Linked DNA regions of Ovis aries. Each later gene encodes a partner of the first gene's protein in a complex. Links are inferred from orthologs where the notes say so. Each region holds a gene or a part of one and is shown in the gene's direction. Other genes may lie near its edges. The genes, in order: CELF1, CALR3 and CALR.

The links.
Region 2: CELF1 (region 1) and CALR3 share a complex: the UniProt entries of both Homo sapiens proteins name them as parts of the EIF2 complex. The link is inferred for Ovis aries from reciprocal best matches to the Homo sapiens genes CELF1 and CALR3.
Region 3: CELF1 (region 1) and CALR share a complex: the UniProt entries of both Homo sapiens proteins name them as parts of the EIF2 complex. The link is inferred for Ovis aries from reciprocal best matches to the Homo sapiens genes CELF1 and CALR.

What each region holds. Positions count from the first base shown.
Region 1 is NC_056068.1:76,232,806-76,236,452, reverse strand, and holds part of CELF1 (CUGBP Elav-like family member 1), read left to right. Parts: intron 1-1,093; coding exon 1,094-1,281; intron 1,282-2,772; coding exon 2,773-2,855; intron 2,856-3,387; coding exon 3,388-3,436; intron 3,437-3,647. UniProt on the Homo sapiens protein: RNA-binding protein implicated in the regulation of several post-transcriptional events. Involved in pre-mRNA alternative splicing, mRNA translation and stability.
Region 2 is NC_056058.1:6,298,157-6,301,865, forward strand, and holds the start of CALR3 (calreticulin-3), read left to right. Parts: upstream 1-792; 5' UTR 793-870; coding exon 871-961; intron 962-1,175; coding exon 1,176-1,277; intron 1,278-3,709. UniProt on the Homo sapiens protein: During spermatogenesis, may act as a lectin-independent chaperone for specific client proteins such as ADAM3. Required for sperm fertility. CALR3 capacity for calcium-binding may be absent or much lower than that of CALR.
Region 3 is NC_056058.1:10,924,127-10,927,873, reverse strand, and holds the start of CALR (calreticulin), read left to right. Parts: upstream 1-1,483; 5' UTR 1,484-1,554; coding exon 1,555-1,645; intron 1,646-2,013; coding exon 2,014-2,115; intron 2,116-2,275; coding exon 2,276-2,479; intron 2,480-2,932; coding exon 2,933-3,027; intron 3,028-3,117; coding exon 3,118-3,327; intron 3,328-3,409; coding exon 3,410-3,523; intron 3,524-3,603; coding exon 3,604-3,747. UniProt on the Homo sapiens protein: Calcium-binding chaperone that promotes folding, oligomeric assembly and quality control in the endoplasmic reticulum (ER) via the calreticulin/calnexin cycle.

The sequences.
Region 1 (3,647 bases):
ATTGCCTTCTCCTGGTGACAAAACTGGTGACAAAACTGTTTTTCTTTTAAAGAAAAGTGGTGTTTTATTTGAGGTTGAACATTAGAAAGAATGCATGAAAGAAAGAAAGACACATTCGAACATGGTGATGTAATTTCTGGATTTATCAAACACTGACAAAAGTTAACCATGCTAACTATTTGGAATGTCAGGTGTTACTAGTTTGGATAAATGCTCAGAATAAGATTGTGAAAAGGTGGTAGGAGAAGCACTTTGATTCATTCTGAATGGAAACATTTAATAGTGTAAGCGTTTCCCCCATGGTTCTTGACAGTGGCAGGGGTAGGAGTGAAGGCATTTAAACAGGAGTGTTACAGGTTTGGTGTGATCAGATTCGAGGAATTTGTGGACATTATAACAGTTAGAGTTGGTAAGGGAATTAACTGGTAAAATCTTGGAGAAATAGCAGCAAATCGGATTACTTAGAAACAGAAGACCCTAGAATGATGACATCGTTGTTTATATAACAATCGTTTGTAAAAGTTTAAGAGGTTTTATTTTGTTTTGATTGGAGGGCCTCACTCAAGAGTACCAGGATTATGCATGAGACAGCAACACCCAAAGATTAATGTTCTAGTCAGTTCTTAGGCCTTGGAAGTCCTGTGCTTCTGTTCTGACATCTACTGAGAGAAAACTTTTCACCCATCATTGTGTAGATTGAGAATCCTGAATCCTACCCATAAGCAGTAGTCTTTTGTGATTTTGTGGACATTTTATAAAATTTTATTAGCTCTACTTAAAAATGATTAAAGCTTTCTTTAGGAACTTTACCTCTTAAGTTCTGAGACTTCTCTAGCTAGACAAGGAATGACTGGCGTTCGTTTCATGCGTTAAAGCCCAGGGCACCCTAATCAGAGTGGTGCCTTTAGTCTGGGGTCAGATGGAAGGGGTGGCATAGTGCGGGGCGGCTGGGGGCCCTGGTAGATTGAATGTAAGTAGTGAAAAGAAGTAGGCTTTTCCCCCTTACTTCTTCAGGAAGTAGTTGAGACTTTTAAAGAAAGGAACTTTCTCTTAGAAACAACATGGATACATAATAGAAATCCGTTTTATGCAGCTCAAAGAAAATGAACGGCACCCTGGACCACCCAGATCAACCGGATCTTGATGCCATCAAGATGTTTGTGGGCCAGGTTCCAAGGACCTGGTCTGAGAAGGACTTGAGGGAACTGTTTGAACAGTATGGTGCTGTCTATGAAATCAATGTCCTAAGGGATAGGAGCCAAAACCCTCCACAGAGCAAAGGTAAGGAAGGGCCTTGGGTTTATGTGTATTTGCAGTCACGCGCATGCTCTGTCTCGTTGCCAGAATGCACTTGTGGTCATGGCGGGGGGATCTGACTGTCTTTTTGTTGCAGCTATATCTCCCAGTGCAAACTCGTTTAATGGCTTAAAAATAAAAGAAAATCCTCATGAGTGACATCATGAGGATAATTTGTAAGTTGGATCTTGGGCAGTCATTTTCAAGATCTGTAAAGTCAAGAGACAGACTCCTGTGAGTGTCTCATTTGACCTTGGTAATGGAATGACAGAAATAAAGTTGAAGTAAACCCACCACGTAGGGGGTTTTTAGTATTTTAGCTAGGGTAAGTGAAAAGGGGAAGACTGTCCAGGTACTCGTGGGCTTTTGTTGGTGTTACAGAGGCCTTCTGGGATGGCTTAGCAACTAGGAGGGGCTTGTTTATAGATCACCTGGTTGTTATAGCCTACAAAATGAACAGGGGAAGGAAGGCAAGCTGCCTCTGGAAATACCCAGCAGAGGAGAGGGTTTATAGGACTGATAGTAGATCAGGTGTTAGCTTTGCCCCTAGACACATGCAGATATACACTTGTTTTCCCAGATAACCCATTTCAGAGTGATTTTCTATGGAAGCTGTCCTATAGTACAGAGGTAAGCAGGCGTGATTGTCGTGCTTAAACCAGCTTAATAGCGAAGGGTCTAGAGCTGAGGAATTATTTTTTCTTTGTGGCGTAGTTAGCCAAAAGTAAAAGGTATTATAGTTTCCGAAAATGACTGTCAGTGTAATATACAGTAATTTAAAATCTTAATTGCAGGGTGATTTTAAAAGAAATCTATATCATATCTTATGGGACTGCGGGCCTAAGATTTACAAAACATACTTATGCCCTCCCATCCCCAGTAAAAACACAGAGCACAGAGTCCCAAGGTCTCCTCAGTCAAGTGCTGTTGGACATGTAATTATATTTGATGAGACCCAAGAGTCCAAGAAATAGATACTAAGAGAGCCTTGCGCTTAAGTCATTTTATAATTTAATAAGTGATGATTATGTTAAGGCATATGGTAGAAGCTGGCTGCAGTGTAAGGCCTGTTCTGAGAAAGGAGGAGTTGTAGACCACAGGCTGTAAGAGGGCGAGGCTGAGTCTTTGTGCCCAGCGCACTGCCTGGGCAGTGGAGGGCGGGCTGAATGGCGTGGTTCTGTGACCTTTGTAAGGACAGCCATCTTGCCAGCGAAGTTACAGGAGCAGCTAAAGAAGAAGACAACCAGGTGACGATAGCAATAAAGAAAATGGTAGAAAATCTTTTTTTTTTTTTCTCTTCCTTGTTAGATTTTCTCCATCTCCCTCCCTCCCCTCTCGCCACCCACCCACCCACCCATTTGAATAAACCCAGCCCTGGCTTTTGACTTTCAATGTATCCCTGGAGGAGGGAGTGCTCTCGTAAATTATCTCCTTTCAAAGGACTGGTTTGATTTCATTAAGTATTGTTTATTGCAGGGTGCTGTTTTGTTACATTTTACACCCGAAAAGCTGCATTAGAAGCTCAGAACGCTCTTCACAACATGAAGGTCCTCCCAGGGGTAAGAAACTTCTACTAGTAAGTGGAACCGCGGTGGCTTTGACGTGTGGAGCACACTTATGGGGGGAACGGGGTGACTGCCACAGCAACTGATGCAAAGGAGGAATAAAGGGAATGTTTCAAAGAAGATAGATTGAAAGTGATTCTCAGCCGAGAGAATTTTGACTTGTTGACTCACATTCTATTTTGAGGTTCTGCTGAGGAGAGATAATGAGGCAGGCGTGAGTTCAGAGACAGTTCTTCCTTTCTTTGGTGCGTCGGGTCTCGGTTGGTTGCGTCATTGCAGCGTACGGACCCTAGTTGTGGCGCATGGGGTTAGTTGCTCCAGGGCATGTGGGATCTTAGTTCCCTGATCAGCAGTTGAACCCACGTCCCCTGCATTGCAAGGTGGATTCTTAGCCACTGGATCACCAGGGAGGTCCCCAGAGACACCTCTTAAAGCTCGGTTTTGGTATTTCCCTGAGAGTCCTCATCTGTGTTTCCGAATGCCTTCAGTGTGTGTAATGCTAATAGTCAGGTGTCTTCCGTTTTAGATGCATCATCCGATACAGATGAAGCCTGCCGACAGCGAGAAGAACAACGGTAAGCGAGCACGTGCGGGAGTCCTCCCCGTACGCGGTTCCTGCGGGTGTGTTTGCTGCCCTCAGGCATTTGGGTTGCCTCGTGCGCTGATTGCCCTTCTGTGGAGGTATAGTGGCGCATGATATGTCAGTTGCAGCTGTGCAGCATGATGATCCAGTGTCTGTGTGTGCTGTGGAGTGACACTACAGGAAGTCTCGATCTGCCACCATGC
Region 2 (3,709 bases), on another chromosome or scaffold:
CAGATGATGCAAAAAACCACACAGCCTATTATTCCAGTTACAAGGACTGTCCAGAAAAGGCAAATCCACAAACTCACAAAGCCCATCGGTGGTTGCCTGCGACTGCGGGTGTTAGCGGGGATGGAGAGATACACTTCGGGTGACCTACAAGTTCGAAAGCTGGATGGTGGTGATGCTTGCACCATTTGGTAAATTTTTAGTAAAATAACGTGAATTGTAAGCTTAATGGGGGTGAACTGTACCGTATGTAGATGAGTTATCAATAAAGCTGTTAAAAGATAAACCAAATTTTGAAAATTGGGGCGCCCTTCAGACCAGCGGGTTGTTCCCCAAGGCCTGGAGCGACCCACATCGGACCATCTTCTCCAGTGCGCCTCAGACAGGGAAACGGAGGCTTGAGGCCCCTGAACCGCCCTCCCGCTGCCCGACCTACTCAGCTCCGGAGGGCGCCCCGTTTCCCTCAATTCCTCTCCCGAGCCCAAGCATCAAGTCTGGCCACCGCCCAGCCAACCCCGCCAACCTCCTCCCGCGAAGTCCTTCCGCGGAGGCTGCCGCCGCTCACGGTGGAACACTCCTGCCAGAGGGGACCGTTGCCCTCGGCAAAAGCGCTAGGGTAAAAGAGACTACATCTCCCGGGTCACCCCGCGCCCTGAGAACCAATAGAGCCTCAGGTCATAATCGCAAGGCTTCATGGGAGTGGTAGTTTTGGGGGCGGGCCTGGTGTGCACCGCGCGTCAGAGCCCAGTGGACTCTCGGGTCATAATCGCGAGGCGTGACGGGAGCTGTAGTTCCGGGGCGGGCCTGGCGGGCCGCGGAGACCGCCGGACGCGCAAAGGGGCGGTTAAGAGAAGAAGTGGTGCCGCACGATCCATGGCCGCGGCTCGCGTCCCGCTCTGGGCAGTTTGTGTGCTGCGGGTGGCGCTGGCCACCGTCTACTTCCAGGAGGAATTTCTAGATGGAGGTGAAGAGGCGACGCCGATGGTGGCGGGGGTGTAAGCTCCCGCATACCCCGTTGCCCATTGGATGGCCTGAGTTGCCATTTGGACCCGGCCTTTAGACGAAGGATCGGTGGTATCAAAACCCTGAAGCTTCGAAGCCTCGGGCGTCCCCATCATTCTCCCCACGACACGCATTAACAATTTTCAGCCCTAACTTGTGTTATTTACCCCTTACAGAGCGCTGGCGGAACCGATGGGTACCTTCCACTAATGACTCCCAATTTGGGCATTTTAGACTTTCGTCCGGGAATTTTTATGGTCATAAAGAGAAAGATAAAGGTTAGTGTAGGAAACGTGAAATTAAGTTTCAAGGTAGGTGTGGCACACCCCAACACCCATTTCACAATTCGGGAAACAGGCCTGGGTAGGGTTGTTTTGTCTTTTCTCTCTTTAGAAGAGACCAAGATGATGCCTTTTTACAAGCGCTAGTCATATGGGTTTGGAGACGGGAGGGCCTTAGGCTCCAGAAGGAAAAGATTAGAAGATACTTCTCATTTTTATTTTCAAGTTAAAAAAAAAAAAAAGGTAAAAGTTATATGCTGTCAAGTGGATGGATCTTAGGGGGTCCAATAGAATGAATATAGTTTGTGACTGGACACCCAGATCAAGATAGGAACTTTCAGGCCCCACTTCCACCCCTAGAGGCAAGTCCCCCGCCCCCACCCGGCCCCAAGTCAGTACCCTTCTGGTACCAAGAATAACCTCCATTCTGGCTTCTCATTCCTAATAATTAAAAGTAGATAAACTACTGCCTGTTTATTTATACACTCAGTTAGATTTCTAAATTTTTTTTTTATCTACCTCAAGGCTCAGTCACAGCATGCGGGAATTTCCGTTCTGTGGTGAGATATTTTCCTTGCCATGCACGAGCTCTCTAGCTGTGTCACCCTGGCTTAGGTGCTTAGTATGTGCGATCTTGGTTCCCAGAACAGAGCCTGAACCTCTGTCTCCTACATTACAAGGCCAGTTCTTAACCGCCGGACCACCAGAGAGTCCCCTCTTCATTGTTTAGTTGTTGGAGAAAAAAGAAAGGGAAATAGTATTTTGTGATGCATTAAAGTTATACGAAGCACTCCATGCAGTGTCTGAAATTTCACAGTCCATAAATAAAGGGTTAGTGGAACACAGCCATGCTTACTTATTTGCATACAATCTGTGCCTGCTTTCAGATCACAATTCTCAAGGCAGAATTGAGTAGTTCAGACTCTCAAAAGTGTAAAATGTTTATTCCCTGGCTTTAACAGAAAAAAGTTTACCAACCCCTGATTTAAATGAAAAGTTCCCCTCTTCACCACCTTTCGTTGACGTTCCATTCATCTTCCATCTTGGCCCTGTTACACCAAGGCAACCTCTGGTTTTGAAATGTACTTGCATTGTTTCATAGATACATGGTGCTCCAAATTGTCAGGCTGTAGTGGAAAAAATGGAGTTGAAAATAACAAGTTCTATGAAGCTTGTCTAAGGAGTGGAGCTGTCATTTGTTTTTTTCCGCCACAATATTTTTCCTTCCTCCAGCCAGAAATGCTGGGACTCTAGACTCTGCATTTCATTCACTCCAGCACGTGTCTACTGAGAGCAGATACAGGCAAGACACTCAGTATACTGGTTAATTCCACCCCTCATGGTGGCCCCCCAGGATCATGACATAGAAGTCACGGATGGAAAAATCCACAGAATTTAACTAGACAGAGAAGAGAGGTGCTGAGAGGTGATGGTGATGGCTGAGGAGTGGGGTGAGTCAGATGGCCTTCAGTTCAGTTCAGTGGCTCAGTCTTGTCCACTTCTTTGGGACCCTGTGGACTCCAGGCTTCGCTGTCCATCACCAACTCCCGGAGCTTGCTCAAACTCATGTCCATCGAGTTAATGATGCCATCCAACCATCTCATTCTCTGTTGTCCTCTTCAAGTCCTCCTGCCCTCAGTCTTTCCCAGCATCAGGGTCTTTTCAAATGAGTCAGTTTTTTGCATCAGGTGGCCAAAGTATTGGAGTTTCAGCTTCAAATCAGTCCTTTCAGTGAATACTCAGGACTGATCTCCTTTAGGATGGACTGGTTGGACCTTCTTGCAGTCCAAGGGACTTTCAAAAGTCTTCTCCAACACCACAGCTCAAAAGCATCTATTCTTCAGTGCTCAGCTTTCTTTGTAGTCCAACTCTCACATCCATACGTGACTAATGGAAAAACCATAGCCTTGACTAGATGGACCTTTGTTGGCAAAATACCATCTCTGCTTTTTAATACGCTGTCTAGTTTGGTCACAGCTTTTCTTCCATGGAGTATGCGTCTTTTAATTTCTTGATTGCAGTCACCATCTGCAGTGATTTTGGAGCCCCCAAAATAAAGTCTCTTACTGTTTCCACTGTTTCCCCATCGATTTACCATGAAGTGATGGGACCAGATGTTATGATCTTAGTTTTCTGAAGTTGAGCTTTAAGCCAACTTTTTCACTCTCCTCTTTCACTTTCATCAAGAGGCTCTTTAGTTCCTCTTCACTTTCTGCCATAAGGGTGGTGTCATCTGCGTATCTCAGGTTATTGATATTTCTCCCGGCAATCTTGATTCCAGCTTGTGCTTCATCCAGCCCAGTGTTTCATGATGTACTCTGCATAGAAGTTAAATAAGCAGGGCGACAATACACAGCCTTGACATACTCCTTTCCCAATTTGGAACCACTCCGTTGTTCCATGTCCGATTCTAACTGTTGCTTCTTGAC
Region 3 (3,747 bases), on another chromosome or scaffold:
CCCAGAGTTGGTGGGTGTGGGCTTCATCACTGAGGAACACTTTAGGTTATACGCCATACTGTTTTGGAGAAGTAGAACCCCAACTTCGTCAAAACTCGTCACACCTCCCTTTCCCAGTCCCCACCACTGGAGGGGAAGTACACCCTCCCCACTCTTTTGCCAGAATCCGCTCCCCCCACCACCCCAACCCCCCACCCCCCGCCTTCGCCAGTTTATTCCTACTTCCCAAGTCCAGAGCCTATTTGCTCAGTTTGGGAAAGTCCCCGTTCTCCTTCCTCCTTCCTGCAGCCTAGGGGTATGGGGCTGGTGTCAGTCACTGCCAGTCATGTGCCTGTGGCCTCAGAAGGCTCTAGTCTCAGGGGTCCTGCCCACCTCTCTTGGACCTTATCTTCCTCACCATCTGCCTCTTTTTTTTTCTCCTCCCCAACGGAACCCCCTGCCCGCTCATATTCAGCCGTTTAATTGCAAAACCAGGCCGTTTGCGGGAGACCACAAGGCGGCGACCCCTTTCATTTACCGGCTGGGGGGCGGGGATGGGAGGGAGGTAAAGGACAGGCTGCAAAGAGAGGAACACAACCTGTCGTCACATCTTTTGAGCCGTCAGGGTCCTTCCCTCTGTCCCAGAAAATCCCTAAAAGCTTGAAAAGCATTTCCGCCGGACAGCAGCTGGCCGGGGTCGCTCCTCCTGGCCTTTCAAGAGATCCTGTGATTTCAAAGAGGCTGAATGACTTGCCCCAGCTCACACAGAAGCAGTCTGACAGGCTGCCAGGTCACTACGGGGACCGTACTGAGAACAGGCACTCTTCCCCCAGGCCTGCAGGGCTCCGGCGCTGGGAGGAAGTGAAGCCCCAGGGCTCGGTGCCCTCTGCCCCATCCCGGGGGAGGGAGGTGTGGGAGGGAGAAGGCGGGGTTGGGGAGGAAGGCGGGGGGGGGGGGGGGGGGGGGGGGCAGGGAGGCGGGTGGAGGACGGGAAGAGGAGTGGGAAGGAAGAGAAAGACAAGGTGGGAATGGTGGGGTTCCCCAAACTCAGAGTAGAAAGACGCTAGGAAAACCTTGCCCACTCAACCCTTGAGTGGAGTCTAGAATGGAGCCGGACCCTAGCTTCACGCAGCACCACAGCTCGCGCGTGTTCTTTAAACGCCTAGATCCCGAACGCCGCGCGCAAGGGAGGGCGGGGCTGGGCCGAGGTCTGGTCACATGACCTGGACTGAGGGGCTCGAGGCCCCCCCGACTTCACCGGTGGGCGTCCCCCACAACGCGTGGTCGACCTTCATTGGCCAGTGGTGCGGCCAATAGAAATCGGCCATCTGGGAACCCAGCGTTCCGAGGCACAGCCTAACATGCTGAGCCTAGAAGGGTCCAATGGAAAGGCAGGGCTATGGCCACAGACCAATGATAAAGTGAGGAAGGCGGACCAAGAGGCCGGACCAGGCTGGTTTGAGAGCAGGCGGGGTATAAAAGGGCACGGCCGGCGGCGGCGTCCGTCCCCACTGCAGAGCTGCTGCCGGACGAGTGACTTAAAGGGCCCGCGCGCCACCGCCCCCTCGGCCCGCCATGCTGCTACCCGTGCCGCTGCTGCTCGGCCTTCTCGGCCTGGCCGCCGCTGATCCCACCGTTTACTTCAAGGAGCAGTTTCTGGACGGAGGTAACGGCTAGTCCCGCTCGAGATCGTCCTAACGACGCGGCTGGCCCTCCGGCCCATATCTGCGTGTCGCTTGTAATTACTGCTCAGAGGGCCAACACGGTTTCCTTCAGGGACTGGAGCCGAAGGCGAGCCTTCCTTCGGCGTCCCTGGGGAGCGTGGAGGGAGCAGCGGCTTTCCGAAGCGGGAGTTAGGGTTTGCCCGAGGATCTTTTAAGTCACCAGAGATGTCAAACTAGAGGTTGGGGTGGGGACGGTCTGGGGGGAGGGGGGAATCTCCTTCCTTGCTCCCAGCAGTTTGTGGCTCCTGGTAGATGTTTGGTGGGGAGTTGATCAGCACCGCCGCGCTTACCTGCCTCTTTGATCCTCTAGACGGGTGGACCGAGCGCTGGATCGAATCCAAACACAAACCGGATTTTGGCAAATTCGTTCTCAGTTCCGGCAAGTTCTATGGTGACCAGGAGAAAGATAAAGGTAAGAACTTAGGAGTGGGTATTCAGATCCAGGAGGACAGAGTTTGGGTATCCCTAGAAGTAGGGGAGGTGAAGGAAGGAGGACTGGTGTGTATTTTACATCCTTAGGGTTCCCCGGGGGGTTGGTGCTGAGCCCTGATCTGATTATAGTCTCTCGGTAGGCCTGCAGACTAGCCAGGATGCCCGGTTCTACGCACTGTCGGCGAGATTTGAGCCTTTCAGCAACAAGGGTCAGACGCTGGTGGTGCAGTTCACGGTGAAACACGAGCAGAACATCGACTGTGGGGGCGGCTATGTGAAGCTGTTTCCAGCTGGTTTGGATCAGACAGACATGCACGGGGACTCCGAATACAACATCATGTTTGGTAAGGGGACTCCACCCTGGTGCTGATTTCTGGTCACTTAGAGGGAGTTTGAAACCCGGGGAGTTCTTTATCGCCCATGAACGGTGGTCTTGAGAGCATAGAAAACACTTACATGCTTTAGGCATTTCTTTCATAGGGAAGGTGAGGGAATAGTTAGGAACCACTTACTGCATTTTTATCATCGACTTCACACTAATTCGTGCAGTTTTACTATATAGGCATTTCCTTGTTCCTAGTTGTGCAAGTGAAGATTGTGAGTTCTGGAGTACTGATGTGTGGTTTGTTTTTTTTTAAGTGTCCTCCCCCAGTTCCTTAGAGAGAAGGTCTGAATTTTGTTTTTTCAGCTTGACAGTCCTGAGTTTAAGAACCAAGTTGTCTTTTTGTAATGGGGTGGGCAGGGGCTTGTAATGGTGGACAGACTGTAGTTCTGACCAAGATCTGCTTCTCACCAAGGCCCAGACATCTGTGGACCCGGCACCAAGAAGGTTCATGTCATCTTCAACTACAAGGGCAAGAATGTGCTGATCAACAAGGATATTCGCTGCAAGGTGTGCCTTGGGGGTGGTCACAAATGGCTGTGAGGGGAGGCTTTGAGCCCAGGCTGGTGGGCGGGGCCACTCATCTTTCATTCTCTTTAGGACGATGAATTCACCCACCTGTACACGCTGATTGTGCGGCCTGATAATACGTATGAGGTGAAGATTGATAACAGCCAGGTGGAGTCAGGCTCCTTGGAGGACGACTGGGATTTCTTGCCCCCCAAGAAGATAAAGGATCCTGATGCCGCTAAGCCTGAAGACTGGGATGATCGTGCCAAGATCGATGACCCCACAGACTCCAAGCCTGAGGTTGGTGCTTGGGCAGGGGCTCCCCACCATGGAGCGTGTGGAGGACAGCTGCTCCTATTCTGACCTCCTAATGTATCCTCAGGATTGGGACAAGCCTGAGCACATTCCTGACCCTGATGCTAAGAAACCTGAGGACTGGGATGAAGAGATGGACGGAGAGTGGGAACCACCTGTTATTCAGAACCCAGAGTACAAGGTGAGTCTGGCACTCTGAGGAGGGTGGTGCACAATGGGGAAGGCAGTGATCTTCGCTCACCCGTCAGTTTACTTCTGCAGGGGGAGTGGAAGCCCAGGCAGATCGACAACCCAGAGTACAAGGGCGTTTGGATCCATCCAGAGATTGACAACCCTGAGTATTCCCCTGATAGCAACATCTACGCCTATGAAAACTTTGCTGTTCTAGGCTTGGATCTTTGGCAG